Callithrix jacchus: one gene and its partners. The protein of the gene in region 4 interacts with the protein of the main gene of each other region in a pairwise test. Links are inferred from orthologs where the notes say so. Each region holds a gene or a part of one and is shown on either strand. Other genes may lie near its edges. The genes, in order: SAMD3, LZTS2, TMCC2 and HSPD1.

Region 1 (7,894 bases), on a different chromosome or scaffold from region 4:
TAAGGAGAGAGTTGTACAACGCTATTGCCTCCAGTGGTAGCAAGGCTGCTACCCAAAAGAATTGCCAGACATTGTTGTATGTGACAGCCACATACTTCTTATTATTATTATTATTGAGACAGACTGTCTCTCTGTTGTTCAGGCCGGAGTGCAGTGGCACGATCTCACCTCACTGCAACCTCCACCTCCTGGGTTCAAGAGATTCCCTGCCTCAGCCTCCTAAGTAGCTGGGTTTACAGGCACCTATCACACCGCCCGGCTAATTTTTTGTATTTTTAGTAGAGACAGGGTTCAGCATCTCGGCCAGGCTGGTCTTGAACTACAGACCTCATGATCCACCCACCTCGGCCTCCCAAAGTGCTAGATTACAGGTGTGAGCCACAGTACCCAACCCCTTATTTTTGTACCTCAATTTTCCTTCTTTTTTTTACCAACAGGAACTGATATTTGATCAGTGGTTTGTCCCTTCAAGTTCAGCCATGGTAGGAGATACTTTTTCTCAGGGCAGAATGAGATATTGATCCAGGAGAGGGCGTATGCTGCCAGCAAAACTTTTAGGAATCTTTTGTTGTCCCAGCTTTTGGACTTCAGAAGACAAAACTAAAAATGAAAATAGAAAGAAAGATGACAAAAAGGGTTCATGTTTTCCTTAAAAGTACTCTTTTGTGGTTGATGTTTTTATATGTTTTATATGATGTTTTATGCATTAGATTGCCCCCTGAAGATGATAAATCACGTTCACAGCAGGTGGCCCTATTATCTTCCTTTGTAATTTTAACAGATTTGTTAAATAAAGCTTGCCCATATTTAGGCTGCTTTAGCTAAAGTCTTACCTCTTCTTGGCTTTAGTTAGATGAAGCCCTTTAATACTTAATACATATTTTTTTCTTGTTTTACAATTCAATCAAATAATAAGAATGGTTTAGCAGGAGCATTCATACATAATATTATTATTAATTCTTCCTAAACATTATTGTGTCTTCAACTATTTAGGGATAATGCTTACCTTCACATTTTGAAATACTTTCAGATGTTTCTGGAGCTCAGAATAAAGCTACCAGATATATCTTTTCTCATCTGATATATAATTTGTGCCTTCATGGTTTAGAAGATCATAAATAATATATCCATTATTTATGTGAGAAGAAGTTGTACCATTACTCCTCAAAGATGTTACATTGTCTAGCTAGTGATATTGTTTCATTACCTCTCCAGAAAAGCTAATAGGCAAAAACTATATGCTTTTTTATTTTATTATGTTTGTATGAGGTTATAATTTAACCTGTTTTGTTTTTCCCGGAAGTAGAATTGTAGTAAGAATCCGCAAATTAAAAAATACGTGATCATTTCCAAGTACTCTTTTTTTTTTTCAAATTTCCTTTTATCCATCTATGGCTACAAGGTAGTATCTTCTGCTCTGCATACCTTTTAATCTTAGAGTTCAGAGAATTGTTTTACTTTTTCTTTATTTTCTATTTTTTCCCTAAGACCTACTCTTCACAAGGAAGCCAGAAGTGTGACAGAAAGGTGTGATTTTTAATTTACACCAGAGTCTTGCAAATAATGACTTTTCACACCCTGCTATTGCTGCTTAGCCTAGGGGAGGAGTTCTATGGCTACTGTTTGTCATAACAAATTAAATCCACTGCTGAAATGCAGAAAGATGTTCTTCTATATTTAACCCTTGTTTTCGATTTTTCAACTTGGTGTTTGTGAATACTTATGAGTATGAGGCTTATTTGAAGTCAAACTGTTTTCTAGGAAATGATTCTTGAAGATTATCTTTTCAGCTTGTTACATATGCAAGGTAAACGTTTTTCCCCTTTTCTACTATTCTAACTATGATGTTGGTAATTGTAACCTATTTAAATACACAAAAATGAAAAATGCAATAATAGTTCTTTTTAGAACTTCCATCAATAAAATTTAAATACATGATTAATAAGTATTTTTATCTTTCCTTATGATTCCATTTCTCCATAAGTAGCTTTTTCCTTGGTCTATATAGAATAGTCAATATCTTAATGTACAAGTGAATCTATATCATTTAGATTGTAATTTGAAATTGCCATGTAATGTTAAAAGGCTAAATGTTTTAAATTTATTTCAGTTTCTCCCTCCACCCACCCATCCTACCCCACCCTCCCACACCCCTCCCCTCACCACACCCACCTCCAAATCCATCACAAGTCCTTTGGATTGGAATTACAAAATCAAGGAATAAGCTTCCTTAGGGAAATAGTTTTAAGTTTTCTTAGTGGTTGGAGACAAGTGGCATGCAAAAATAAGTGAAACAGTTGAAGATTATATCTTGCACACTTTGCATATGCTTCTTTCACAATAATTATTAACATATTTAATTATTTTCCAATTTGAATCTGCCCAATTAAGTACAAGGTTTTCAATCTATGTGGTAGTTTATCCTAGTTATCTTACCAATCATAACAGTGTCCAATAAAGTTCTAGAACTCAGAGGGATATGTACGAGTATTATTGGAAGGAAGGACAGAAACATTCAGATTCTCCTGAGGAATTTGGGTCCTACTTTCTCCTCTTGCTAAACCAAAACGACGAGAAACAGTAAGTTACAACCTCCTTCTCCTAGCTAGGAGAAGCAAGGGGTTAACCAGTCTTGGTTTACTAAGTATTTCTGTCAGGCTTTTATCTGATCCTTCCTCCCTTCCTCCCCTGCCCACCCCTTCTGTAAATGTCAACCACTTCCTGAGGAGCCTAGTAGTGGTGAATTTCACACCTTTCTTTTCTTTGTGAAGAAACCTGGGTGTTAATGGTACAGGATTGGGTACCACTGTATGGCTCTGGCTGGCTGTTAGTAAAGCTTCGGGATGCCTATGGGAAAAAAGTAGGAGAAGGTGAAGAAATTTAAGAAATGAGATACTAGAAAATAGGTTAAATAGGGTCTTATATTTAAAATGAGAGTGTTTTCTTAGCAGTTTTTAAATGTGCATTGTAAAAATAGTAATCTTTTAAAAGCTTAACATTGAGAGTCTAAAGGAATCTAGCAAAGGAAGGGGCTGATTGTTAAAAAAAAAATTAAGGCAGGGTCAGAAAGAAAAGCTGGAGTATTCTCTGACCTTTTGCTCTACAGGTGTATTTACAGGAGACAGCCATGGAAACCTGGTCAGTTGAGCAGGTCTGCAGTTGGTTGGTGGAGAAAAATTTAGGAGAGCTAGTTCAGAGGTTTCAAGGTGAGTTGTTTATACTTTCCAAAAATTTTAATTGATCAGCCTAGATCTTCTGATGTCCTCTGTTGTTGAAATTACTTTTGTTGACAGATGTCTGTGTGCATGTAAATGTGGATGTGGAGTTGCTGCAGCAGAGAATTTTTCATTTCTTCATGGACTGTAGCGGAGTTTCTATTTGAAAGTAATGTCCACAGGAGAATATAATATGTCAAGAACTCAAATAAAGCCTTAAGGGTTACTTAAAATACGTATTTGATATATGCATTTAATATTGCTTTTGTTCTTTAATACAGTGTGTATTTTTTGTAGTATTGGGTTTACAAGGTTGCATATTGGCTAGGAGCTATTATGAAGAATAATTTCCTAAGATTAAACAATGCCTGTTAGAGAGAACTAGAATGGAGAGGGTGTTAATGTGGAAATTATAAGTTTTTATTGTGATTCCATGTTCTGGCACTTTCTTAGGAGCAGGTATTGATTTGGAATTATGCAACATCAGAGTTCTATCTTTGTCAAAAATATGGATAAATTTATAATGGCAGGGGACAAGTTTAGACGATCCTTTTATCACTGGAGATAATTTTGCTTCTTCAGAATGCCTGTGTTTTGCCAGAAAGTCATGTAGAAACTTTTTTTTTTCTTTTTCCCAGAGGAAGAAGTAAGTGGGGCCGCTCTCCTTGCACTTAATGATCGGATGGTTCAGCAACTGGTAAAGAAAATTGGGCATCAAGCTGTTCTGATGGATTTAATTAAAAAATACAAGAGGAACACTCAAGGACTGAAGTCCCCTGAAAGTCCCAAAGAGGCAGCCCTGGTCATGCAAACAGAAGCAGCCCGAGAGTGAGTATATTCATAAATGGCCTTATTTTTTTCCCCAAGCTTTCCCAATGATGGCTAGAGCATGACATCTGGGGTTTAAAGCCCTGTGAAAACTGTGACTATTTTCAGCTGGATTGTATGTACAGTATTTCTAATATCTGAGCAAAGGACACTGTAAAATTTTAGGAATCAAGAAACCTTTTTTGTTTCACCACTTTTTAAACACTGGTTCCAATCATTAGGGAAGTCCTATAGACCGAGGGGTCTACATAAAATGTTGTGGAACAAGCAGGCGAAATAGACATGTAACACAAGGAGAAAGGGGCTCCTGCGGCTCTGGTTTCTCTGGTTTTAAAATCAGCTTTTGGGGAAGGCATCTTGACTGCTCCTTTGCTTTTCCCAAAACTATTTATTAATCTATTATTTTCCAAGGATTTCTTAGAGTAACAAATTTATACTCTCCTCTGGATACCTTTACGATATAATTTGCTAAACACTTTATTGCCACATGAGTTTTCTAATTTTTTAAGGATATCCTTAGAATAGTGAGCACCATGGAACACCCCAAAAAATCATGTCGAAAAATTAGCGGTGGCCAATAAAAAGTCTGAAGTTTGGGAATGGTTTTGTTTGTTTTTTAATCACTGACTTCTGCAATGGAAAGAAAGGAAAACAGGATGTACAAGACTGAAAATTTCATTTTACATATCCATTTATGCCCCGGGATCATTTTGGCCATTCTGATTTAATTTTCCTATTTTCAAGATTTTTTGAAAGGTTTCCAAGATTAAATATTTGCTGTGAAACTATGAATAAATTTTAAAGATTGTGATGATTAATAAAGTCTATTCTCTGTTTTTACTTTGATTTTTTTGAGATTAGATAGGTAATAATAGAGATTTCTCTGTTTCTCTTTGATAAGTAATATAATGGTAGAGATCTGACATAATCAACTTTATTTCTAGAATATTTTAAAATTTGGGACATGGAGGGGAACAGGTAGCCTTGAAAGGATGGTATATAGAGCCAGACTGGAAATTCTACTAATTGACTAAAAAAAAAAATTTTCATTTTTTTTGGTTTTTATAGAGATAGGTCTCAGTCTGTTCCCCAGGCTGGAGTGCTGTGGCAGGATCATAGCTCACTGCAGCTTCAAATTCCTGGGCTCAAGCAGTTCTCCTGTTTCTGCCTCCCAAGTACTTGGGATTATAGGCACTCAACACCACACCTGTCTAATTTATAAGAAATGGTTTTCTCACTGTGTTACCCAGGCTGGTCTCCAACTCCTCGCCTCAAGCCATCCTCCTGCCTCAGCCTCCTAAAGTGCCTGGATTACAGGCAAGAGCTGCTTCATCCGATCCCTAACTGATTTATTTGAAGGACTTCTAAACATTGTTTTGGCTTATCTATGTAAAAGAGCACACTCTTGAACATGTAACTATTAATGGAGTTCCCATTGCAAGCTTTTACTCCTTCCCCAAGGAAGGGTGGGAAACTGAAAGAGAGATCAGAGTTATTTCCTTGCATTTTGGGATGAGTAGGACTTTGGAGCTGGAAGTTCCCTTCCATTGACTGGAATCTTGATATTTCTAAGGCAATATATGGATGTGTAAAATGAAATATTTAAAATCTTTCTTTCTTTTAGAAGAAAACAGGCAGTCTTGTTTCCACTGCAAATCAATTTATAATGTTCTCAACTAAAAGAGAACTGGCTGGGGTGCCAGAAAACCTGGGCTTCATTCCTGGTTCTACTACTGACTTGTATTGATTATTTTAAATGTTGGCATTCCTGTTTCTGCATCTGTGCATTGTGAAAAGTAATATGGTACTTAACTCCTGTTTAATTCACACTGATGTTAGGAGTATCACAATCTTTGAGCAGATTTGTCCTTTTTCTCCCAGACTGAAATAGTCCTGTGTTAAACTTGGTTAACCTGGTTAAGAAAGCTAGTTTCAAATGTGGCCAGAACGGGGACCATAGTTTGTCTGGGGATTTATGAGTGGAGACTTTTCACTCTATCCATAAGCAGCTGACTCACTTAGGGATTTGGGTTGTCTTGTATTTAGATTATTCTAATGCAGAATTACAATTGCATGTGAGAAGAAAAATATATCAGTTTATATTTTATATGAAATGCTTGTTGGTTATATTTGCTTATTGTCAAATATATTTATTAATTATGTTGTCACTTGACAATCATCAAGTGGGAATGACAGTAGAAAGAGGCATGAGAATACACGGTTTAATTAAACCCTTTTAGAGAGTGTTTAATAAAGGAAACTTGGTGTACAAAAGAACCCTGAAGCTAGGTATTAAAACAGCTGATTTCAACCCCCTATTGTGATATTAGCTCCTCATCTGGCCTTGGAGATTTGTCTGATCCCTTTTAGTTTTTGCTTCTTCAACTGTAAAATGAAGTGGGTAGAATAAATGATACTTTAGGTTCGTTCTAAGGAGTCTGTGATGGCATTCTAGATCAGAGCTAGCAGATAGGTTTCCATTTGAGTGCAGATTCCCTTTAATGGCTAGTGGTTGCCTGTGTGAACTCAAAAGTACCTGAGACGGGTATTAATCAATTTAGAAAGTCTATTTTGCCAAGGTTAAGGATGCACCCATGACATAGCTTCAGGAGGCACTGATGACATGTGCCCAATGCAGTCAGTACAGCTTGCTTTTATACATTTTAGGGAGATGTAAGAAAGACATCAATAAGTGTAAGATTTAGATTGGTTTGAACCGGAAGGGCAGGACAACTTAAAACTGGGGCTCAGGAGGCTGAGGCAGGAGAACTGCTTGAGCCCAGGAGGCGGAGGTTGTGGTGAGCCAAGATTGTGCTGTTGCACTCCAGCCTGGGCAACAATAGCAAACTTCCATCTCAAAAAAATAAAAAATAAAAAAATAAAAGCTGGGACTTCCAAGTAACAGGTAGATTTAAAATTTTTCTGATTGGTAGCTGGGCACAGTGGCTCATGCCCGTAATCCCACCACTTTGGGAGGTTGAGACGGGCAGATCAGTTGAGATCAGGAGTTCAAGACCAGCCTGACCAACTTGGTGAAACCCTGTCTCTACTAAAAGTACAAAAATTAACTGGACATGGTGGTAGGTGCCTGTAATTCAGGCTACTCAGGAGACTGAGGCAGGAGAATTGCTTGAACCTGGAAGCCAGAGGTTGCAGTGAGCCAACATTGCGCCACTGCTCTACAGCCTAGGCAACAGAGTGAGACTCTGTCTTAAAAAAAAATTCTGATTGGCAGTTGATTGGAAGAGTTACTATCAATAGAAAGGAATGTCTGGGTTATGATAAGGGGTTGTGTAGATGAAGGTTTTATCATGCAGATGAAGCCTCCAGGTAACAGGCTTCAGAGAGACTAGACCATAAATGTTTCTTATCAGACTTAAGGTCTGTGTCGATGTTAATGCCAGTTAGCTTTTCCTGAATTCTAAAAGGGAGGAGGGTATAATGAGGCATGTTCAACCTTCCCTTTCCATCATGGCCTGAACTTGTTTTTCAGGTTGATTTTGGAATACCTTTAGCTGAGAGGAGGAGTCCATTCAGATGGCTGGGGGGGCCTTAGAATTTTACTTTTGGTTTACACCCAGCATGTTTTCTTTTCTTTCTTTTCTTTTCTTTTTTTTTTTTTTTTTTTTTTTTGATGGAGTTTCACTCTTGTTGCCCAGGCTGGAGTACAATGGGTAGATCTCAGCTCACTGCAACCTCTGCCTCCCAGGTTCAAGTAATTCTCCTACCTCAGTTGCCTGAGTAGCTGGGATTACAGATGCTTGTCACCATGCCTGGCTAATTTTTGTATATTCAGTAGAGACAGGGTTTTGTCATGTTGGCCAGGCTGGTCTCAAACTCCTGACCTCAGG
Region 2 (7,644 bases), on a different chromosome or scaffold from region 4:
GCTGCCTCAGACACCTGGAGTTAGGACGTTTTGTAGAGCCTTTTCCAGTTTTACTAAAATATTTTTTCATTGCCTCTGTTTCTGTGCTTTTTCTTATTCATCCACCAGGTGTCTCCCCAGTCCGTAGCTGAATTTCCCTCTCAGGACTGGGAATAAATGGGTTCCCTCCCACTGCTTGCAGCCTTTGAGCGGTGGGCTTCCGAGGAAGCAGGGACATTAAGGGGCCTTCACACCCCACCTCCCCTTTCCATCTCTTCTTGGCCTAGGGAAAGCAAGATGGTCTGTCCTCATGCCTAACTTCCCTGAGGATCTTGAGTGACTCCTGCACAGGTGCTCATTCCTGGGCCACATGCCCGGGCCCTCCCTGACTGGCCATTCCTCTGTGATGTGAGCCACTCACCTCCCTAGTGGACTTAGACTCAACATATTCTCTCTACCCCCCTCCATCTCCCGTACCCTCTCCTTGATTCTTTTACGTTCATGTGTGCCAGAACTCCTGGAGATCTGTGAAAAATGTAGAACCTGGGCCCCATTCTCCCATCCTCCACCACATACATTTGTCATTCTGGAAATTTGAGGAGGGATACAGTAATCCTCATATCTAGCAAGCCCTGGAGGAGACTGTAAAATAAGTGATCCAGAGGCACTGTCAGAAATATGCCTAAATGATGACACCTTCTCATCTCTCGTCCTCTGATATCCAGAAGTCCCAGTTTCCCTTTGGATTTGCCTGAAAGAGTCGTGAGAATGCAAGATGTTCTGAGAGGGCTGGGGAGAATCCTTTTGTAAGGTTTGGGGGAAGGTTTCTTGCTCCCTTTGGAAGCAGGGCTGCCTTGTGAAGGTCTTCCTTTCAACCTAAGAAGGGGCTTCTGGGACTGGTGGAGGGGTCTGTGGTCTCTGGAGTGAGAACTGTGGCCACAAATGTCTCCTGAAACATGGGGAGCAAGGCTGCTGGAAAGCTGCTGTCTGTGAGGAAGAACCTGTGGGTTGGGAGAGCTCCTCTAGGGCCTCCCTTCTTGGGGGTCTCTCCCAGACTGGCTGGAGCCAGGCCTCCCTAATCCCACAGTAATCATTCCCAGCCGTTGGCTGTTCTAGGCCTCATCCAGAGCCTGTACTATTGAACAGCAGCCCAGCCATGTCTTCCAGAGGCACAATACCAGATGTGTCCTACCTGGGAAGATGTGGGTTCCACATTCCTGTCTCCTTGGAATGCCTGGTGGGTTCTCAGGAGATCCTTTAGAAGTTTTCAGTAGGGGACCTTTGTTAGGTCTCTGTGAACTGGGAATAGAGGGATAGATACAGACTTGCCTGTTTGTCTTGCCCCACCCTTCTAGTATACACCCCCACACAGCACAAACCAGAATGATGGGGAGGGGAAGCCAATAACCCCCCAGCCCCACTGCCTGCACAGACACATTCTACTCCATGCCTGCCTTAAACACCCCATGTCATGATCAGGCCTAGTCTATTCAGATCCCTGGATTCTAGAAAGCAGTGCGGTGTCCCTAGGGCCTATGCAGATTTCCTGGGACAGGACTGGTCTGCCTACAGCCAACTGGATGGTAAGAATCTCCCTGACTCGCAGGTTCGGTGGATTGGGAAGAAAAAAACATTTCAAAAAAATCTCCCTGAGAATTCAGGAAAGGCCTGGCTGAGTCAGGTTCAGTTGCATCTGCAGCCCTGTCCTGTGATGGACAGTGTGTGTCATACTTGGCTGTGAGGGGTCAGCTTTGGTCCTCCAGCAGCTTATTCTCTGCAGTGGATGGATTTCAGAAGCCACAACTCACCGAGGTCTCCTGCAGCTCATATGGCCCAAGTACCTGTAGACCTACCCACATGCTGCCTTGAGTGACATGGTGGGAGGGAGCCCTTGGGGCCTCCTTGCAATACAGGCCAACTTCCTGTTTGTGCCTGTGGGTGGGACTTTATGAGTCTAAAAGAAGCCCAGCCATGCCCCCTGGGAGGTCAAAACCGGCAGGCCTGCTCACCTGGGCAGACACCTACTCCAGGGAGGGGGCTGTGCTGGTTCTGCTTGGGCGGCCCCAAGTGAGGTGTGTGCATGGTGGGGGTAGGTGGGAGCTGCTCTGGTGAAACTCAAGTCTTCTTTGTGTGCTTCCCAGGGGTTTTCCTTGTACTTGGGTATTGGGCCCAGAGTGGACTGGTTGGGCTCCCAACCGAGCAGGGGGGAGAGTGGCGGAGTCAGGCTCTATAGGCAGCTTAGTTAAGGCAGCCAGGTAGCAGAATTCTCGGTCACGTGATGATCGCCCCTTTTCCCCAGGTGGAAAACCAAGTCCGGTAAGCTGTGAAGTCAGAGGCCAGAGAGGCATCCTCCGCCACTGTCTAGCCACTGTTGGGCTGGGCACTGGGTCGGCTGTTGGTGGGGTGCGGGGCAGACCACTCCCCTCCCCGGGTGGGGGGCGCGGCCTGAGCCGCCCTGCCCCGCCCCGCTCTGCTCCACCAGGTCCTGCCAGGCGGGCGCCGGGAGCCGGGAGCCGGGAGCCCGGAGCCCGGAGCCCAGAGTTCGGAGCGAGCTAGGGAGCCGGCGTTGTCGCAGCGAGGAGGCGAGCGCGTTGGAGCAGGAGCGGCGCCGGAGCTGTAGCCGAGGCGCAGCTGGCGCTGGGTGAGTGGTGGGCGGCGGAGGTGCAGGAACTCCCGCCTCCTGCACATCCCCGCTCCAGAGCGAACTTTCCGCTTCTGGAGAAGCTGGGGGTGGGGATGAGGAGTGGGGTCGGGCGCAGGCGAAGAGTCAGAACAGGGAAGCGACACGGAAACGCATGCCAACGGGTCCCCACACACGCGTGCACAGACCCACGCCCGCACTTGGGACATGCGAATACACAAGCACTCGGAAAGGACGCGCCCAGTTGGCTACCCTTGCACTCCCAGGGACAGCGCCAGCCGGCGCGCGCGTACCCCCAGCGGCCAGGACACTCTGCGGTCGCGTATTGGGTGGGGGAAAGGGGCAGCCCCGTGCCCGCAATGGAGGCGGGCCGGGTGGGACGCACCCAGAGGTTCCTGCTTCCTGGCCGCCCGCAGGTGAAGACCAAGACGTAAACAGGCGTGGCGCACGTGATCGCTCCGCAGATCAGTGGCCAGTGCTCCCAACCCCACCACGGGGCGGGGACCCCAACCCCAGTCCCGGGCGCGTTTGCCTGGTCCCAGGCCGGACGGCGTTCCATTCTCCGCCTGGAGCCGGGATAAACCCTCTCCCAGGCACCGGAGCACAGCGCCCCCTGGAGCCGGGGCGGAGCAGGAGGGCCGGGCTGCTGGGCAGGGCCGGGGTAACTCGGGCTCCTGGACGTCCTTCTTCCCAGCACATTCTTGGTGTCTACATCCCGGAAAGTTTCGGAGACAGGCCCTTGATGACAGTGGACAGCTGCCCCCGCCTATTAACCCCAGCCCAGAGAGCAGCTGTCTGAGCGCCTGAGGGTCCCCTTCCTACCCTCACTTCCACTCTTTGTGGGATTCCGAGTCTCCTCCCCCGAGAAAATTCATGAGTGTAAACGCCCCCTCAATACTGGAGTGGGCCTACCCCCCTAGCAAAAGGAGGGCGAGCTCCTCCCCCCAGGGAATGAGGGAGTGGGCAGTAGCTTGATTCCTTTTCCCCGCCCCACCCCCCCACCCCTACACACACACGCTGAGCCCAGCTGCTGCCTGAGATGGGCAGGCTGCCAGAAAGAGGAGGAGGCTCTCTGTGCCCCAGGAGGCAGGGATCAGGGCAAGGCCAGAGGAGGGGGCTTTGCTGGGGAGAGGGGCTCAGTCTGTTCTTGTGAGGCTGAGGGTCTGGGGTGAGTCTGAGGGTGGCTGGGCTGTGTTTCCCTTTCCAGGGAAAAAGAAAGAAAAACAACCCTATCCATAGAGCTAAAAATAGAGCTGAGAGCGGGCCAGGGCTGTGGCCTGGAAGGGGGGGATGCTCCTTCCTGGGGCCCGGACGAGCTCTGGCAGGCCTTGGCCCTGGGGGGGAGGGAGTCCTTAGGGGAGAAAGGCTGTCTTTGCCCAGGGATGCAGGCATCAGCTGACCTGACCGGGTCACCGAGACCCTTAAGGGAAAGGCTGTGCTATAGGATATTTGTGAAGCACGGCGTGTGTGTAAGAAGTTGTCCGTGTGAGTGAATGTCAATAGAGGCTGTCAATGTGTGAAAGATGGCCAGGAGACTAAGTGCATTTGAGACTGTGACTGGGTGCGAAGGACTGCGAATTGTGGAAGCCTCTCCACAACAGGCCTGTGACACCGTGTCTGTGTGTGACATGGACTGGAAGATTATGGAAAGAAGGAACGCGGTCCCACGTGACAGCTGAGACTGCTTGTGGCTGCGTGGTGAGGCTGCCTATGGGAAAGGTCGTGTGGGTGTTAGGGACTGTGTTGTGCGCGAGAAGGTGAAAATGTCTGCGATCCTGAGAAAGTGGAATGTTGTTTGCCGTGAGGCTGGTGTAGGTTTGGGCTGTAGGCTGGAACCGGCTCGCCCAGTGATATTGGGGAGCCAGGACTGCCCCTCTCTGAGAAATGGCCTCTCTTTTTAAAAAGTGATCCCAAGGGGAGGCCGGCCTGGGTTCGCGGGGGAAAGGACACCGTGCCGGGGAGTGGGACAGGGCCAGTGTGGTGGGGGGAGGCTGAGTGTGTTCTTCGAGTCGGCCGCCAGGTGGCGCCGCCTCCGCGAAGCCCAGGTTGCCGCCTGCAACCCGCCGCGGGTGGGGCAGGCGCGGACCGAGCTTTGGCCACCGTCTCACGCTAGGGCGCGGGGCCCCCGGACCGGAGAGTGGGGGGCGGCCGGCCCTCGGCCTCCTGCTTGGGACCCTGAGGCTGAGAGCGTGTCAGGGAATTTTCGCCTGGAGAAGCCGAGGGGGAGGGGCGGCCGCCGCCGCCTCGCCGGGGCTCTTTGTGCTGTAACAATGACCAGCTGCCGCCGGCCCCCGGGCCCGGGCTGGGGCGGAGGGTGACCGCCGCCGCCGAGCCGAGCCAAGTCCCCGGACACGCAGTCACAGGGCGTCGGAAGGAGGGCTCCCGACTGCCGCCGAGCAGCCCCTACGTGCGCCCCGGCGGACTCGCGTGACGCGGGTGCCGGAGCGTGTCCGCGGCCCGGGGCGGGGACGGCCCTCGGACCCTCCCTTGCGCAGCGCCGCCCACTCGCACTGGGCGGGGGCTGGCCTGGGCCGGGGGGCGCCGCGGAGGCGGAGGCGGGGCCGGCCCGGGCCGCTCGGAGTGGCGGCGCGCGGGCCGGGATCGGGGCCGGAGCCGGGCGGCGCGCCTGTGGAGCGCTGGGGGCGGCCTGGGGCTGAGCATGGAGCAGCGCGGCGGAGGTGAGGGGGGGCCGGGGCTGGGAGGCGGCCTGGGGCGCCCCCAACTTCTGCGCGGTGGAGTCCAGCGGGGAGAGGGCATTGCCCAGCCGCCCCCACTTTCTTGAAGCGGGTCTGGCCCCTGGAGAATGGGTTGGGGGCTCCCCGCTTCCCGCCGCGGAGCGGGAACTCGTGATCGCAGACTTGACCCCGCTTGACTGGTTCTTGGAGTTTGGGTGGGAGGGAGACTTTGCCCAACTCTTCAGACCCCTCGCCGGCCCTGGACGAGCTCCAGCCCTCCGCTCCCCACAGCCCGCTAAAAGGGGGATGCTCCTGGGTCAGAGTGATTGCTTAGGGAGTGCTGAGGAGAATGAGGGGTTCCCATCTCCCACAGCCACAAACGCATTTCTCAAAATGGAGCCGCCACTTGCCCCTCCTTCTCTCTCGGGCTCCAAGAGCGGGAGCCGGGCCGGCTGGGCCTGGCTTTCCAGACTCCTGGCTCTGGCTCCCTGGGTGTGTGGCTCTCAGGGCCCAGCTCTGTGGCACTTTGGACTTAGGGGCCCTCGGCTCCATGGGGTTGGGGGGCCCTGGCTCACTGGGTCTGCCTGGCTTTCTCCTTGTCAGCCTGACCCTCGGGCCTCTCCGAGTCTTTGTCTCTTTTGGGTTCCTGTCTTTCTCTGAGTCTGTCTCCTTCCTTCAGTTTTCACTTTCTCCCTGCTCGATGAAGTGGGGAAATACAGCAGAGGTGCCAGCCCCCTGGGCCCCCTAAGTCCCTTCCCCACTGTTCTTTCCATACCCTGGAGTGGACCCAGAGACGGGAGGGGAGGGGAAGGGGTTCTCTATCTGCTCTGCTCGGGGCTGAGACCGGTGGGGTGGTCTGAGCTGCAGCCCTGCATAGAGGCCTGTGATTGCTCCCTGGGCCTGGCTCACCCCTCCCCCAGCTCCCCACAGCTCTGGCCCCAGCCTGAACACCTCTTCCTGGTTCGCAGTGTCTTTTGACTTGGGTGGGAAGGAGGGCAGTGGATTTAATGGAGCGCATACGAGAAAGAAGGGGAACAGATCAGGCAAAGGAGTTAATGTCCCACCTCTCCCCACATGCCAGAGGGGGAAGGAAAGAGGCTCCCTTCACCAGCTGGTCCTCAAGCCACCCAGGCTCCCACCACTCTGGTACCTACCTGCCCACATTTACAGGCTCACCTGCACACCCTGGTGCACTCACCTTTCTAGTCACACACTCAAACACTTAGGAGCTCACACATAAACTCATATGCTGACGCATCTGTCCAGGCACCGTCTCATCCACACACCACAAATTCACATTTATAACTTTCACAGGCTTTCTAAGAATGACCCCTTACCCATGTACTTTTGTAAGATATACACATGTGAATTCACACGGGAACTCGTGTGTGAATGTGCTGATAACATCAAACATGCATAGACTCACATTCATATTTTCACACACATTTTCGTATATACACATGGTGTTCATTTCCATGCTCCTGTGCATGTAGTCACACAACAAATAACTAAATGCACACACTCCTACTCCCAGTGCAATTCTCTGTCCACTTCTTGGCCCCGCTCTGCATGATGACTTCAGCAGATGCCTAAGTCCTGGTCATCAGTGGCCTCAGGACTGGGAGTAGGGAGGGGGTTCCGGGTGGAGGCTCACATCTGCTTCCTGGAAGGAGCAGGGCCTGGGGAGGTGGAGCCCTCTTGCCTGGGCTCCCTGGAAGTGAGGCTTTGGAGCAGCCGACAAAGGTGAAGGCGGGGCATCTACCTTCCTCCCCTCAGGGTTTCTCTGGGGACCTTCTAAAGCCGTAGGGTTTCACAGAGGTTGGTAGTGGGGCAGAGCCTGTGGAGGCTCCTTTAGGCCTGATTGGATGTGCAGAGGCTAGGAGTTGTCATGGAAACTGGTATGAGCCTGCATCCACCTCTGGGAGGCAGGAGACCCTGAAGGACACCTGTGGACTCCCTAAGAGCCATGGGTTTCTTATTTAGCCAGATCCACAGAGAGGCAGTTTAGCCGCCTCTCTGGGAGAAACTGAGGCCCAGCAGGGGGAGGCAGGGCACTGCCTGGCCTTGGCTCTTTATTCCCTAATTACCATCTCAGGTGCTGATTGCAACCTTGAGGTGCCTCTGCCCAGACTACCCTGTAATGAGGCCACCTGGCTCAGAGGGCCAGAGACCTGTGCTGGGAGCTGCTAGAGAGGGCCCCTCCCTCACCTGAGTCCTGGCCTCTGGGGAGGATGCAGGATTGGGCTTGGGCCTGGGTCTTTGCTGCCAAGTGGCCTTGTGGTCATTACCTCAGCATCTCTGCTGAGTGAACTCAATCCTTAGCCCTGTTTAGACCTACATTGGGCACTG
Region 3 (7,136 bases), on a different chromosome or scaffold from region 4:
CTCTCCGGCACAGATTCAAGTGAGCCCTGTGCCCCTGCCTCAAGCGGGCCCAGAGGGGATGGTAACTCCTGTGGGAAACCCTGGCATTGTGTAACCTAACATCTCCAGGGCTGCCCCAGAGTTCAGTTCTCAAGAAGGAATAATGATAACCTTAATTTCCTCATCTCTAAATGGAGATGTTACAATTGTTGCTTTTGTTACTATTTAGGAAAGTCAAATGGGATAATGCAGGATACAAAGCTCCTTTAAAATGAAAAATCATTAGTTCATGGTGAATTGTGATTATGTAATTTATCTGGTCTGTAAAATGGGTGATGTAAGGGCCTCTCCTACTTTGAGAATTCTGGGGCTGCTCAGATGAGGTGAAAAATGAAAATCCTAAAATTTTAGACAACTATATGATAGTATAGTTATTTGTATCCAGCTATAAGTGCAGCCATCTGTACAAAATCAAGGCTGAGTTGCATAGTAACCTAAGAGTGGGGCCAGCTAATTCAGAAGCTATAAGGTTGCTTTTCCTTGGTTCCTATATGGTCTAGATTTTCTGCTCTATAAGTTTATTTCAAGGGGGAGAAGAAACAGCAAATCCAGTCTGTGTAATTTTTTGGAACATTTTTTAAATGACTTAGGCTGCCTGGTAGGATTGTGGGTTGTTCCTCACAGGAAATCCTGCTATGGCTCATTAAGTCCCAAATGGCTGAGTTCTGAGTTTTCCTCTAAGGAGCTGCAGAGTGTGAGGTGTCTCCTGGTCCTCCAAGTCTCATTCCTCCTCCCAATGGCTCCAAAGCTCTCATAGAGGGCTCAGCCTGGCCAGATAAGCCATCCCCTGACAGAAGCAGCTGTCTGGAATTATACCACAGTTGCTTGTCCTGGCAGGCCGTCCAGCTGTCTCTTTGTGAGCAGTCTTGCCGGAAAAGCAGCTGGAGAATCTCAGTGGCAGGGCTAAGAGGAAAGGCTGTGGCCCGGGCAGCACTGGGTTGCCCGGCCTCTGTGCTTTGGGTTTAAGGGGAAAGACACTCATTTGGATAGCTTGTTCTGATGTGTGTGCTAAAGAATTGGTCATATTACTGACTATGTCACAAGGTTTGCTCAAAGAAGTAAAGTTTATTTCATTGCCAACTATATCAGGAATGAAATTGGCTGCAAATAACAGAAAATCATACTAGAGTTGTGTAGACAAAGATAGGTTTATTTCATGCAACAAGAATCCCAGGATAGGTGTTCACAACTGGTTTGGTGGCTCCACAGACTTTCAAGTTCCCAGGCCTGTCCCTTGGGCTCCACCATCTGTGTGCAGGCCTTCATTGTCAATCATGTTACCTTGTGGCTGCAGAATGGCCGCTGCATCTCCAGACACTACATTCCCATTCCAGATGGGAAGATGTAGTAGGAAGGGCCAGTGCCTTTATCAGGAAACCAGAAGTGTTCCCAGAAACTCTCACCTTGCTTTTCATTGGCCCAAACTGTTGTCATGTGACTATTCCTAGCTGCAAGGGAGTCTGACGAAGTAGGAATTTTTAGCAAGGTGCATTAAGTCCTTGCAGTTTGGTTGGTAAGAAAGAAAGAGAAATAGATATTGGGTAGGCAATTAGCAGTGTCTGCTACAACAATATAACCTGATTGTATGACCCTGATTCTCTTAGGGGAGTGTTGGAATTAGGGATCTTTGGAAATTGATGTTTGGTGGCCTGAAAGAGCTAGTACAGCTTGAAGGGATGCCTAGCCTGGAAGGAGGGAAGGACCGGGAGCAGGGGGATCAATCTAGAGGGATACAACCCCATCAGCAAAGTGCTTTGTGTGCCACTAGCCCCAGACTGAAGCCCTGAGAACATCATTCATAGAAACTCACAACCCACACTTTGATTGGGAATGTCTGGTGGAAAACCATGGGGGCACATCTCTTTGGGAATGAAAGGATGGGTCTGGGTTGCTACCTTTTCTCAAACTGACCTTTTAGGCATGACAGGCCATCCATGGGGATCTTCCAGGTTCAGATGGCTGCATTAGCTATGCCAGTCTACCAAGGATAGACCCTTCACCTTCACCCCCAACTGACTGGGCAATCAAGAGCTTTCCACTCACCAGCGTTCTTCATCTCTCCCCTTTAAGAAAATCCAGCAGCTGTCAGAGGGCTCCATGTTTGGCCACGGTCTGAAGCACCTGTTCCACAGCCGCCGCCGGTCTCGGGAAAGGGAGCACCAGACATCTCAGGATTCCCAGCAGCAGCAGCAGCAGCAGCAGCAGCAGCAGGGCATGTCCGACCATGACTCCCCAGATGAGAAGGAGCGCTCTCCGGAGATGCACCGTGTCTCCTATGCCATGTCCCTGCACGATCTGCCTGCCCGGCCCACTGCCTTCAACCGCGTGCTGCAGCAGATCCGCTCCCGGCCCTCCATCAAGCGGGGTGCCAGCCTGCACAGCAGCAGTGGGGGCAGCAGCAGCGGGAGCAGCAGCCGGCGCACAAAGAGTAGCTCCCTGGAGCCCCAGCGTGGCAGCCCTCACCTGCTGCGCAAGGCCCCCCAGGACAGCAGTCTAGCCGCCATCCTGCACCAGCACCAGTGCCGTCCCCGCTCTTCCTCCACCACTGACACTGCTCTGCTGCTGGCCGACGGCAGCAACGTGTACCTGCTGGCTGAGGAAGCCGAAGGCATCGGGGACAAGGTGAGGTGGGCCTTCAGGGGTAAGGGGAGGCTGTCTGCTGAGGGGCCTGGAGACCTGGGGAGCTGAGCTGGGGCCCTGCCTGGCAGATATGACACCCTGCTGCCTACAGAGTTGTCTGCCTTGGTTAAAGGAGTCAGGTATGACTAGAATGATTCCCCGAATGGCTAATTTTTGTTTCTTTAGGGCTTTGTTTTTCAAAATTGCATTTTGCTCATACTGATATTAATGTTGACTTGTTTTCCTTAAATGTGCTATCAAGAGGCATTAGGTATAGTAGTTCAATACACAGACTGGAACCAACCCTGTGTCTGCTGCTCACTAAGTTAACCTTTTTGTGCCTGTTTGACTAATTGAAAATGGGGATAATAAGGCTGGACGCGGTGGCTCACGCCTGTAATCCCAGCACTTTGGGAGGCCAAGGTGGGTGGATCACTAGGTCAAGAGATCAAGACCATCCTGGTCAACATGGTGAAACCCCGTCTCTACTAAAAATACAAAAAATTAGCTGGGCATGGTGGTGCGTGCCTATAATTCCAGCTACTCAGGAGGCTGAGGCAGGAGAATTGCCTGAACCCAGGAGGCGAAGGTTGTGGTGAGCCGAGATCGCACCATTGCACTCCAGCCTGGGTAACAAGAGCAAAACTCTGTCTCAAAAAAAAAAGAAAATGGGGATAATAATAGGACAGTTATAAGACTAAATGAGTTAATATATGTAAAATACTTGGAATAGAGCCTGGTGTAGTATCATTTTTGCTATTTTCACCAACCAAAGAAGACAGGGAGTCCATGAAGGGTGATTTGGGAAGGAGAAAAGCTAGTTTGGCACTTCATGATTTATATATTTGTTCTTTTATTCATGCAAGAAGTATCTATTGAATCTTTGCTTTGTGCTACAAGAATGAACAAGCCAGTGTTGCCATCTTGTGGAGCTCACTCTAGAGGGGGACGAGTGGGTGAATGGACAGAGATGAGAGCTGCTGTGGGAGCTTCAAGGGAGAGGGGACTTGAGGAGGGAGCAGGTAGCTAGCAGAGACCTGCTGGAGGAAACGAAACTGTTGAGCTGAATAATTTAGCCAGGGAAGAACTGGGAGAGGGGTAGGGGGAAGGGAGGGCATAGTATGTACAAAAGCACTCAATCAGGTGCTGTGGGCTACTAGAGGTTCATTGTAGCCAGAGCATCTAGCACTTTTGGGGTTTGACAGGTAGGCAGAGGCCACATCACAAAAGGCCTTGCCATGTTGAGTCTGGGAGTAGTGTGAAGCTATCAAAGGGTGCTAGGCAGGAAACTGGCAGGATGAGATCCCTCTGGATCCCAATATAAAGAGTAGATTGGGGCCAGGCGTGGTGGTTCACACCTGTAATCCCAGCACTTTGGGAGGCAGGTGGATCACTTTGAGGTCAGGAGTTCGAGATCACCCTGGCCAACATGGTAAAACCCCGTCTCTACTAAAAGTACGAAAATTAGCCAGGCGTGGTGGTGGGTGCCTGTACTCCCAGCTACTTGGGAGGCTGAGGCAGGAGAATCGCTTGAACCCGGGAGGCAGAGGTTGCAGTGAGTCAAGATCGCGCCACTGCACTCTAGCCTGGGAGACAGAGTGAGACTCGTCTCAAAAAAAAAAAAAGTAGATTGGGAAGGGATCACAGGACTGGAGTCAAGGAGGTTTTAGAGCTAGTGCAGTAGTCTAGGCTGCAGCAGTGTGGATGGAAAGAAGGCACCATGTGCAGAAAATGTTTGAGAGTGAAAGTCAGAGGTAGTGGGTGAGAAACAAAATAGGAGACAGAGGAAAGGGAGGTGTCGAGGATGATTCTAAGGTTATAGGCTTAGTGGCTTTAGAAATGGGGAATTCTCTAGTTAAGGAATCACAGGGCATGTTTTGTGGGAAGGGTGATGAGTTCAGTTTTGGACCTGTTGAGTTGCAAGTGCCTTTGGGAGCTGTCCAACTAGGGAGGACCAGATGGCAGTTGGGTCTGTGGAGTAGGGGCCTGGGCCAGGGCCAGTGCTCTGGGAGCTGGCACTGAGGTTGAAATCATGGGTGTGAGTGAGATCTTCAAAGGAGGATGTGTTGAATGAGAAGGAGGCCATGGACAGATCCAACTGACATGTAAGTGACAGGCCAAGCACCAGGAGCCTGAGAGAGAGGAGTCAGATGTGTGGAAGTGAACTTGCAGCAGAGCAAAAGGAAAAGGAGCTTGAAGGAGGAGGAAGTAATCAGAGTGAAATGCATAGAAGGAGCAGGTCACATCTGGGTTTGGAAATGTGCACAGGCAGTAGCAAGCAGTGGCTGCCATTGGGAACCGTGACTGAAGCCAGTTTCAGTGGATTAAGGAGACGGTGGAAGTGGAGTCAGGTGTGTAGCTTGGCTGTAAAGAGGGAGGACATCAGGTGGAGGCAGTCTGGTTTTTGTTGGCTTTTTTAAGTTGGGAAGCGCCTGAGTACACTTCCATGTGGCTGGAGAGGGCCCTATTAGGGAGAGATCAAAGATAGCAGTGAGGAAGGGGAATTCTCATTGGGGTGATGTCAGTGAGTAGGTGAGAGGGTGTGAGATCCAGAATTCAGCATCATTCTCGGTCACAAAGAGTCACCTCTGTCAGGCAGAAATGAATTCTTACTTTGTTTTTATTTTCTATGGAGGAAGAAAGCAAAGGTACAAACAACTGTTTATTGAGAGTAGTGGGGGAGGTGGAAGGACTGGCTGGAGGAGGGCAGTAAAGGTTTTGGCTTGGGGCAGAGCAAGGCTCTGAGCAGGAACTCACGGGTGACCTGTCTGGTGTTGTAGAGGCTTGTAATTTGTGCTGGCAGCAGCCTAGCAGTTGTGATTTATTTTCTCTCTAGTGGTCCTAGCCATAGGGTAGGAACACAGCTGCAGGATTATCAGGCTAATCCAGGGTTGGGGGTTGCTGGGAGGGCATGTTGAAAGGTCAAGGGTGACAACGGAGTTGGGGGGGTCAGAGAATGCTCAAAGGGTTGGACCTTGAAACCTTGGCTGGTAGAGAAGGAGGTGGGGATAGGAGAAGGCTGAATGTGGAGAAAAGGAGATGAGGGTACTGAGGGAGTGGGGGAGCAGGTGCATTAAGAATAAAGAGGAGTGAGAGAGACAGGAGAGGACATGGGAGTGTACGACTTGGGGGTGGGATGGGGAAGACAAAGGGCAGAATATACTCATAGAGCATGGCAGACAAGGAATGAATGGAAAGATAATTTGCAGTGGGGAGAGCTGAGAGGTTAGGTTGTGGGATGAGCTGTCCATATGACCTGGAGATGCCCCCCAGGGCAGTGGTCAGGAAGGAGGGCAGCAGGTGGCTTTGATGACTGGAGGCTGGGGAAAAAGAGTGGAATGGCAGGGACCTCCAAGGAGGCTGGGCTGAAGCAACACTGAGTGCAGTCGAATGCAGGTCCCATCTCCACATGGCCGAAATGAGGGAGAAAGAGCAAGAAAAGGTCACTGCGATGAATGAGGGTTCCAGAGCAGGTGGAGCTGCAGTAAAAGCCCGGAGGCAGCTTGTTTGTTGTGGAAGGAAGAATCTGGAAGGGCCAGTGGGAGGGCAGATGAAAGAGAAGATGGCTCAAGTGGAAGTGAGAGTAGGAGACATGATGAAGACCAAACAGTTCTACATTTGGGGGATGTGAGGCCTTGTGGGTTTTCCAGCATCAAAGTTCCAAGGGAAACTCTGGTGTAAAGCTCTTTTTACCTTAAATGATCACCAGAGCAGACCTGTCTCCACACACGATTTTAAATTGTCTTCTCGTCAACACAGACTGTTTCTCAAGTTTTTGTGCATGTTGACATTTGAAAATGTTTGGATGTTCATTCATTCAACAGGCATTTGTGTGTATGCCTTGTGCCCGGCACTGTATAGCAGCTCAGGTTTGGTCTTTCACTTTTCCAGCATAGAAAGTGCTTTTGTAGACATTGTTTCATGAATTCATTAAAGCCATCCTGTGAGATAGCTAAGCCAGGTGATGATATCCCAATTTTTTTTTCTTTTGAGACGGAGTCTTGCTCTGTCATCCATCTCGGCTCACTGCAACCTCCACCTCCTGGGTTCAAGCTATTCTCGTGCCTCAGCCTTCCGAGTAGCTGGGATTACAGGTGCCCACCACCTTGTTCAGCTAATATTTATATTTTTAGTAGAGATGGGGTTTCGCCATGTTGGCCAGGCTGGTCTCAAACTCCTGACCTCAGGTGGTCCAGCTTCCTCAGCCTCCCAAAGTGCTGTGAACCAGGTGTGAGCAGAGCATCTGGTTCAGAAGCTGTTGAACTACTCTGGGGGTGGAGCAGAGTAGCTGGATTCTGGATTGGCTTCAAAGATCAAGTCACAAAGGTTTCTGATGATTTTATATGGGCATGACAGAAAGGGAGGAGTTAAATGTGGCTCACAGATTTGCAGCCTGGCAGCCGGAAAGAAGAAATGGCTATTATCTGAGTCAAGGAAGATGCAAATGGAATGAGTACCTGGCAAGGGATGGGGGTGGG
Region 4 (7,136 bases):
ATGCTTGACCCCAGGAGTTCAAGGCTGCAGGGAGCTATGATCGTGCCACCATACCCCAGCCTGGGTGACAGTCTGTCCCTCAAAATAAATAAAAATATTTGATAGCGAAATACACTTACATCTGAGTTATTTATTTAGAGACAGAGGTACAGTATCAGCTCTCTGCAACCTCCGCCTCCTGGGTTCAAGTGATTCTCCTGCCTCAGCCCGTGAGTAGCTGGGATTACAGGCTTGGGCCACCATGCCGTGTTACTATTTGTATTTTTAGTAGAGACGGGGTTTCACTATGTTAGCCAGGCTGATCTCGTCTGATCTCTGGTGAGCCACCCACCTGGCCCAACTGAGTTGTTTAGAATGTTACCTGTTTACTTCCCTGTTCCAGCCAAAATAATATTCTGAAAATGTATATATTTTTAACCAGAAAAACCTTAAAAACAAAACAAGATTCAAACTTGAACCCAGGAGGCTTGAGCCGAGATTGAGCCACTGCACTCCAGCCTGAGCGACAGAGTGAGACTGTCTCAAAAAAAAAAACAAAAAACAAAAAAAACAAGATTCAGTTACATACCTTCAAAATAACTGTAAACACTTGCAAAATAAAGAAAGGTACCCATGGGCTAAATTAGTCTATTCTATGAGAAAGCTGAACAAAATAGTAAAGACTGGGGAGTCCCATTCAAAAACACAAATATGAAGATACACAGAGCATATCTGATTTATACAAATACAATTCTAGATAAAAACCCAAGTAGATCATATGTGGAGGTACACATAATGGAGACTGCAAACAGCAATACAAATAATTCTTTCATCCAGAAATATAAATCATCAAATACCACTGCCTATTACCTATTCAAGACAAGTGTACTTAGAGCTTCTCCATCAACGTCTTCAGCGATTATGACCAAAGGCTTACGGTGAGCATTGGCAATTTCAAGAGCAGGTACAATCGACTGGACACTAGAAATTTTCTTTTCACTCAACAGAACATAGGCATCCTGGAATTCACATTTCTGACCTGTAAAAATAATGAAGATTTCAAAAATACACAAAATGAATACAATGTATTTAAATGAAAAGCTAAACCAAGGTTCCAACACACTTAAAAAGTGACCAGGCTGGGTGCGGTGGCTCATGCCTGTAATCCCAGCACTTTGGGAGGCTGAGGCGGGTGGATCACAAAGTTAAGAGACCATCCTGGCCTACATGGTGAAACCCTGCCTCTACCAAAAAATACAAAAATTAGCTGGGCGTGGTGACTCACGCCTGTAGTCCCAGCTACTCGTGAGGCTGGGGCAGGAGAACTGCCTGAACCCAGGAGGCAGAGACTGCGGTGAGCTGAGATTGTGCCACTGCACTCCAGCCTGGCGCCTGGCAACAGAACAAGACTCTATCTCTGGAATACACACATTTATTTTTTTAGAGGATGACACCAACTAACATCCATAGTTTGACACACGTTAGGAAAGTACGTTTAAAAAATTTTAGGAGGGTAAAACAGGGAGATCACTTGAGGCCAGGCATTCAAGACTAGTCTGGCCAACATGGCTAAACCTTATCTCTATTAAAAATACAAAAAGTAGCCGGGCACGGTAGCTCATGCCTGTAATCCCAGCACTTTGGGAGGCTGAGGTGAGCATATTGTCTAAAGTCAGGAGCTAGAGAGACCAGCCTGGCCAACGTGGTGAAACCCCATCTCTACTAAAAATACAAAAATTAGCTGAGCATGGTGGCACCTGCCTATAATTCCAGCTACTTGGGAGGCTAAGCAAGGAGAATTGCTTGAATCCGGGAGGTAGAGGTTGTGATGAGCCAACATTGCATCACTATACTCCAGCCTGGGTGACAGTGAGACTCTGCCTCAAAATGAAGAAATAAATTAAGGAAAAATAAAAATTAAATTAAATTAAAAAATTAGCCGGGCATGGTGGCACATGCTTAGATCCCAGCTGTTTTGGAGGCTGAGGCCCAAGAATCACTTGAACCCAGGAGGTGGAGGTTGCAGTAAGTCAAGGTCACAACACTGCACTCCAGACTGGGCAACAGAGAATAAGACTCTGTCTAAAAGATTTGTTTTTACCTTTTGATGTATTAATAAAGTATGGAGAAATATAGCCTCGATCAAACTTCATGCCTTCAATAATTTCTAATTCATCATTAAGTGTTTTTCCATCCTATGAAAAGACAAAGAATTAGGTATACGGATTTCAATGAACACAAAACATGAAATTACAGGCCAGATTAACAAAAATAGACCCCTTTGGTCATTAGGAATATAGGCTAGAGTATGAAAAAACCCAGGATATCCAATTTCACTTCTGCAAAAATCCCAAAAGTGCTTATTTAAATAATTCTTATGGCTAGACAATATTTAAGTTAGGATGGATTCATTTCACAAAGCAAAGGCTAATTCACGTAAAACACAGTAAGCACTTTGTTCTATACATGTGCTGAGACCACATATAAAGAAATGAAACCACACAGTATTTAAAACACATAAAATTTTTCTACTTGGAAAATTCAGTTTTGATCATCAGATAACTCATTCAAACTATTTTTAAAAACACAAACACACTTGCCTTTACTGTGATGACACCCTTTCTTCCAACCTTTTTCATTGCATCAGAGATGATATTCCCAATTTCTTTGTCTCCATTTGCAGAAATTGTAGCAACCTGAAATAGTCAAGTTGAATTAAAAGGTAAGGCTAGTGCCCTCAGTCAGTTCCCTCATCTTTTCCCAGTAACTTCCAAACTGACACTTACATTCCAGGGAGAAAATTTACGATATGGTAGTTTTCATGAAGTACTAGTTCTTTCTCTTTTTTGATTCATTAACTACACTGTTTTGAGAAACATGATATATAAAACTATTCTTTTAACAATATGTATCTTTTTACATGGCAAATCTGATACTACTAACTGACAAAACTTATGCACCTTTGACAATGGCTAAGAACATTTTCACAATCATACTAATCCATTTTACAGCCATGTAGAACTAAAATGACAACTACACATAGAAGTAAAATGACAGCTACACATAGAACTAAATGACAATCATTATGGTCAAAATTCTTTTCAAATGTTTTAGCAGTAAGAAAAAATGAGTCTAATACTGACGATTAGGTAATACTGTTATTCTGACATTGGTGTGATCGAGAAAAAAAAAACACACATGCCATAAATTTTTTTAAAAAAAGTGTAACATATTAAGTCCTTACCTGTGCAATTTCTTCGGGGGTGGTCACAGGTTTAGACTGCTTTTTAAGTTCGGCAATTACAGCATCAACAGCTAACATCACACCTAGTTCAACAATGTATGTCATTACAATGCTTATTTCTCTCAGGGCTTCTATGTCAAGTAGAAATCTTGAGATTCATAACAAATATTTTAATGACTTAAAAAAAAATTTTTTTTGAGACAGGCACTTGCTCTGTCGCCCAGGCTGGAGTGTAGTAGCACAGATCATGGCTCACTGCAGCCTTGACATCCTGGGCTCGAGGGAGTAGCTGAGACCATAGGCTCAAGGCACCATGCTCAGCTTATTTTATTTTTGTAGATTAGGTCTCACTATGTTGCCCAAGCTGGTCTTGAAATCCTGGGCTCAAGCGATCCTCCCACCTCAGCTTCCCATGTAGCTGGTACTTACAGGCATGTATCTATGCTTGGACTAAAACAAGGCAGATGTGTACAGTTCCAAGAGTCTCTCCACTGAACTCATCCTATGCAAATCATTTCTAACCCAATCATGCTGCCCGTCCCTGACACTTTTCATGTCTGTCAGATGATGCAAAAAAAGGACCAAAATGGGTAACACTCCCTTACTTTCAACAAGTATAGTTCTTAAATGATAGGAATTTGTTGTGACTATGTCTCTACAGGTGTCAATTATTTGAAATTCTTTCACTTAATTTAGTATGTATTATGAACTAACAAAATATTTGTTATACATTAGTTTTTTAAGTCTCATTTTGCTTAACTGGGAATAGTGCTAGCTCTCCTGTTTGAGAGATATACTTAAAAAAAAATCCAATGCAAGGTGTTGGGAAGTCCTCTTAATCTTAATATGTTAGTGATTTACAGTAAAACTGCTTAAGTGCAGTGTATTCACTTGACCCATAAACACTGAAATAGATAAGGTAATGATATATTAGTAATGTAGTAATACATCAGTATGTCAATTATGACAAAAAAATTATCAATAGCACCACCCCCATGACTCTCAAGAGGGTTCCAGGTTTGAACCCTAACATACTCTAGATATACATATAGCAATTCTGGTGATAGGAAAACCAAGTCTTAGCACACAGCTAATAAATGACAAAAGATGGGACTAAAATTTATCAGCTTCATACTGCCATGAAGCTCATGGTGAGGAGCAAATTAAGTTACACTCCAGTTACAAGCACTAACAAACCAATAACACAGTTTGTGCTAAGAAAAAATAAATTGTGGAAAACATTACTTTCTGATTCAGTCTAGTCTTACTTTCTACAAAACTAAACTAAAAATTAGCCAGGAATGGTGGTGAATGCCCACAGTCTCGGCTACTTGGAGGCCGAGGCAGGAGGATTGCTTGAGTTCAAGGTTACAGTGAACCATGACTGTGCCACTGTGGTCTGGCTTGGACTCTGTCCCTAAAAACAAAAGAAATCAACTAAGTAAAACATCAAAATTACCTAACAGCACCCACCACACAGTCTGGCATTCAATCACTACTTACTAAAGGAAAACCCACTTTAAGATTTCTCTAGGCCAAGAGGAGGAATGAGAGAAGGATCAATTTCCTACAGTAACAAACACTTTCCTTAGGTTCAAGGAATTAATGCCTTAAAGTATACTGAAGTTTAGAACACTGTAGTGACAACAAACATTCCTACCTCTCCTGATTTCCACTGGATTAGCACCTTTGCTAATCTTCTCGAAGCCTTCCTTGGCAATAGAGCGTGCCAGTACAGTAGCCGTGGTAGTGCCATCCCCAGCCTCTTCATTTGTGTTATTGGCAACATCTTGAACAAGTTTAGCTCCAATATTTTTATATTTATCCTTTAAGTCAATTGACTTTGCAACAGTCACACCATCTTTTGTTACTTTGGGACTTCCCCAGCTTTGCTCAATAATCACTGTTCTTCCCTAGAAGAAAAAAAAAAAGTTACTGGATCACACACACTCTAAGGGTTATTTACATGTCAAAAAATGAGCAGTTTTCATAATGAAGCAACTACTTCAAAGTCTCAACGTTTTTACCAGTCTTGCAGCATGAATCTCAAGGGCACGTTTATTAATATTCTTTGTCAACAGACAAAATGATCTGTTTCTCGGCCAAGAGCGTAATTTCGAATTAGATAATTTAGGAGATTAAGTTTTGGTTAGTGCCTGTTATCTTTGAAAGTAATGTGACCATCAAGGCAAGTAGTGTGCTCTTCCAGGTTCACTCAACATAAAACCTCAACCATGGCACAAATAGTTATTGGCCACCTTTTGGATGTGAACTAAAGCTGTTACTTTCCATTTGTGAGGTGTGTAAATATTTTATGCAGTTGTTTGGATCACTTAATATCTGAACTGTCTTCAGACTGAAATGAACACCACTTCACTGCACACCACTTTAAAGGCCTCCTCAAAATATTAACCCTATTAAATGAGACTGATTTTAAATATGCTTTGGAACAAGAGAACAGCAGAAAACCGATAGGTAAAACTAGCATTTTGGGATGAAGGAGAGAACGGTAAGCTACTGTTTAATGAGCATAAAGTTACAATTTTCCAACATAAAAAAGTTTTGGAGATGGATAGTGGCAATAATTGCACCACATAAATGTAATTAATGTCCCCAAAGTGCACACTTAATGGTGATTTTCTGTTGTGTACATTTTACTACAACAAACAAGCAAACGAAAGCACCTACAAGCACATACCTGAGGTACTAAAGGAGATAAACTCTTCCCTCTATACTTGGCATGAACTACTGGGGAAAAATCCAAATTTTAACTTAGGCAAGCAAAATTCTACCTCGAGTTTAGGAATCCACCTTGAGCTATGAGTTACTACCCGATTACATCACGCATTGTACAAAATAGTTTTGAAAATCTGGCTGAAGCACTTTTAAGCTTTAAGATCATGTCTAAGAAAAGAAAGGTTAACCAATACTTCACAACTCTTACATGTAAACTGGTTTATCTCAAAAACAGATACGAAAGTACTGTTCAATAGTTCAGTGCGACTGTTTGTGAGTAAAACGCTATTAATACTGTAATTACAATAAAATAAATAAATAAATATACGGATACCTTTGGCCCCATTGTAACAGCTACGGCATCGGCTAAAAGGTCTACACCTTGAAGCATTAAGGCTCGGGCATCTGCACCAAATTTTACATCTTTGGCGTAAGCCCGAGTGAGATGAGGAGCCAGGACCCTGGAAACCGGTCTCATCTGGCGAAAGACGGTGGGTAACCGAAGCATTTCTGGGGATGGAAGCAAATATATAATCAGTACTACCACCCGTGGTGCTCTGCTGCACAAACATGCCCACCTGTGCAACAGAGAAAACAACCTGAGATGCTGAGCCTGGCTGACCTCCGCCAGCTTCTACGCCTGGACTACGGAAGGCGCCGCAGCTACGAACATCAGCCACTAGCGCAAGCTAAAGAGGCCGCCCCGGAGCCTGACCTATAGCACTAGCACAAAGCACACGCAGCTCCTTCCCCTATTCCTGCCGCCCAAAACGAGTTAATCTTTCACTGTGAAAACGGCCTTGAGGAGAGACCCACTCCAACGATGGCCCCTAAGAAACCAAGTCAGCCGGAGAAAGGCAAGTTACAAATCCGAGTGACCAGGGAAGTTAAAAGTATTCCTAACGGTGCAAAAAGCCGCTTAGCAAAGTGTCTCCACGTATCCACCCAGGGCTACACTGTATCAGAACAGACTGCAAAGCCGCGATGCTGGGGGCGGCAGCCAGGCCCATTCCGCGCGGGCCCACGTGTCTCTCTTTCCGAACGCCCCCAGCAAGGTCAAGAGTGGAAGCACAGTATTCCAGCTGCCTGCGGGGGAAAAAAGCGGTTACCTCGCGGACACCACCCTCCCCGGTCCCTAAAGCGTCAGCCAGGCGCAGGCTGCACCAGCGGGCCTAAG

What was found.
Region 1: the proteins of HSPD1 (region 4) and SAMD3 interact in binary tests that used the Homo sapiens proteins (3 or more experiments, as listed by UniProt). The two-hybrid records come from large-scale screens. The link is inferred for Callithrix jacchus from reciprocal best matches to the Homo sapiens genes HSPD1 and SAMD3.
Region 2: the proteins of HSPD1 (region 4) and LZTS2 interact in binary tests that used the Homo sapiens proteins (3 or more experiments, as listed by UniProt). The two-hybrid records come from large-scale screens. The link is inferred for Callithrix jacchus from reciprocal best matches to the Homo sapiens genes HSPD1 and LZTS2.
Region 3: the proteins of HSPD1 (region 4) and TMCC2 interact in a two-hybrid assay, tested with the Homo sapiens proteins (2 studies listed by BioGRID). The two-hybrid records come from large-scale screens. The link is inferred for Callithrix jacchus from reciprocal best matches to the Homo sapiens genes HSPD1 and TMCC2.

What each region holds. Positions count from the first base shown.
Region 1 is NC_133505.1:136,825,377-136,833,270, reverse strand, and holds the start of SAMD3 (sterile alpha motif domain-containing protein 3), read left to right. Parts: upstream 1-2,765; 5' UTR 2,766-3,127; coding exon 3,128-3,206; intron 3,207-3,853; coding exon 3,854-4,043; intron 4,044-7,894.
Region 2 is NC_133513.1:93,951,433-93,959,076, forward strand, and holds the start of LZTS2 (leucine zipper putative tumor suppressor 2), read left to right. Parts: upstream 1-2,459; 5' UTR 2,460-2,620; intron 2,621-3,656; exon of another isoform or gene 3,657-3,788; intron 3,789-3,956; exon of another isoform or gene 3,957-4,318; intron 4,319-5,171; exon of another isoform or gene 5,172-5,298; intron 5,299-7,644. UniProt on the Homo sapiens protein: Negative regulator of katanin-mediated microtubule severing and release from the centrosome. Required for central spindle formation and the completion of cytokinesis.
Region 3 is NC_133520.1:32,733,437-32,740,572, forward strand, and holds part of TMCC2 (transmembrane and coiled-coil domains protein 2), read left to right. Parts: intron 1-2,109; coding exon 2,110-2,661; intron 2,662-7,136.
Region 4 is NC_133507.1:118,454,684-118,461,819, forward strand, and holds part of HSPD1 (60 kDa heat shock protein, mitochondrial), read right to left. Parts: intron 6,941-7,136; exon of another isoform or gene 6,559-6,940; intron 6,470-6,558; 5' UTR 6,468-6,469; coding exon 6,294-6,467; intron 5,137-6,293; coding exon 4,884-5,136; intron 3,307-4,883; coding exon 3,224-3,306; intron 2,676-3,223; coding exon 2,580-2,675; intron 2,175-2,579; coding exon 2,081-2,174; intron 1,019-2,080; coding exon 850-1,018; intron 1-849. UniProt on the Homo sapiens protein: Chaperonin implicated in mitochondrial protein import and macromolecular assembly. Together with Hsp10, facilitates the correct folding of imported proteins.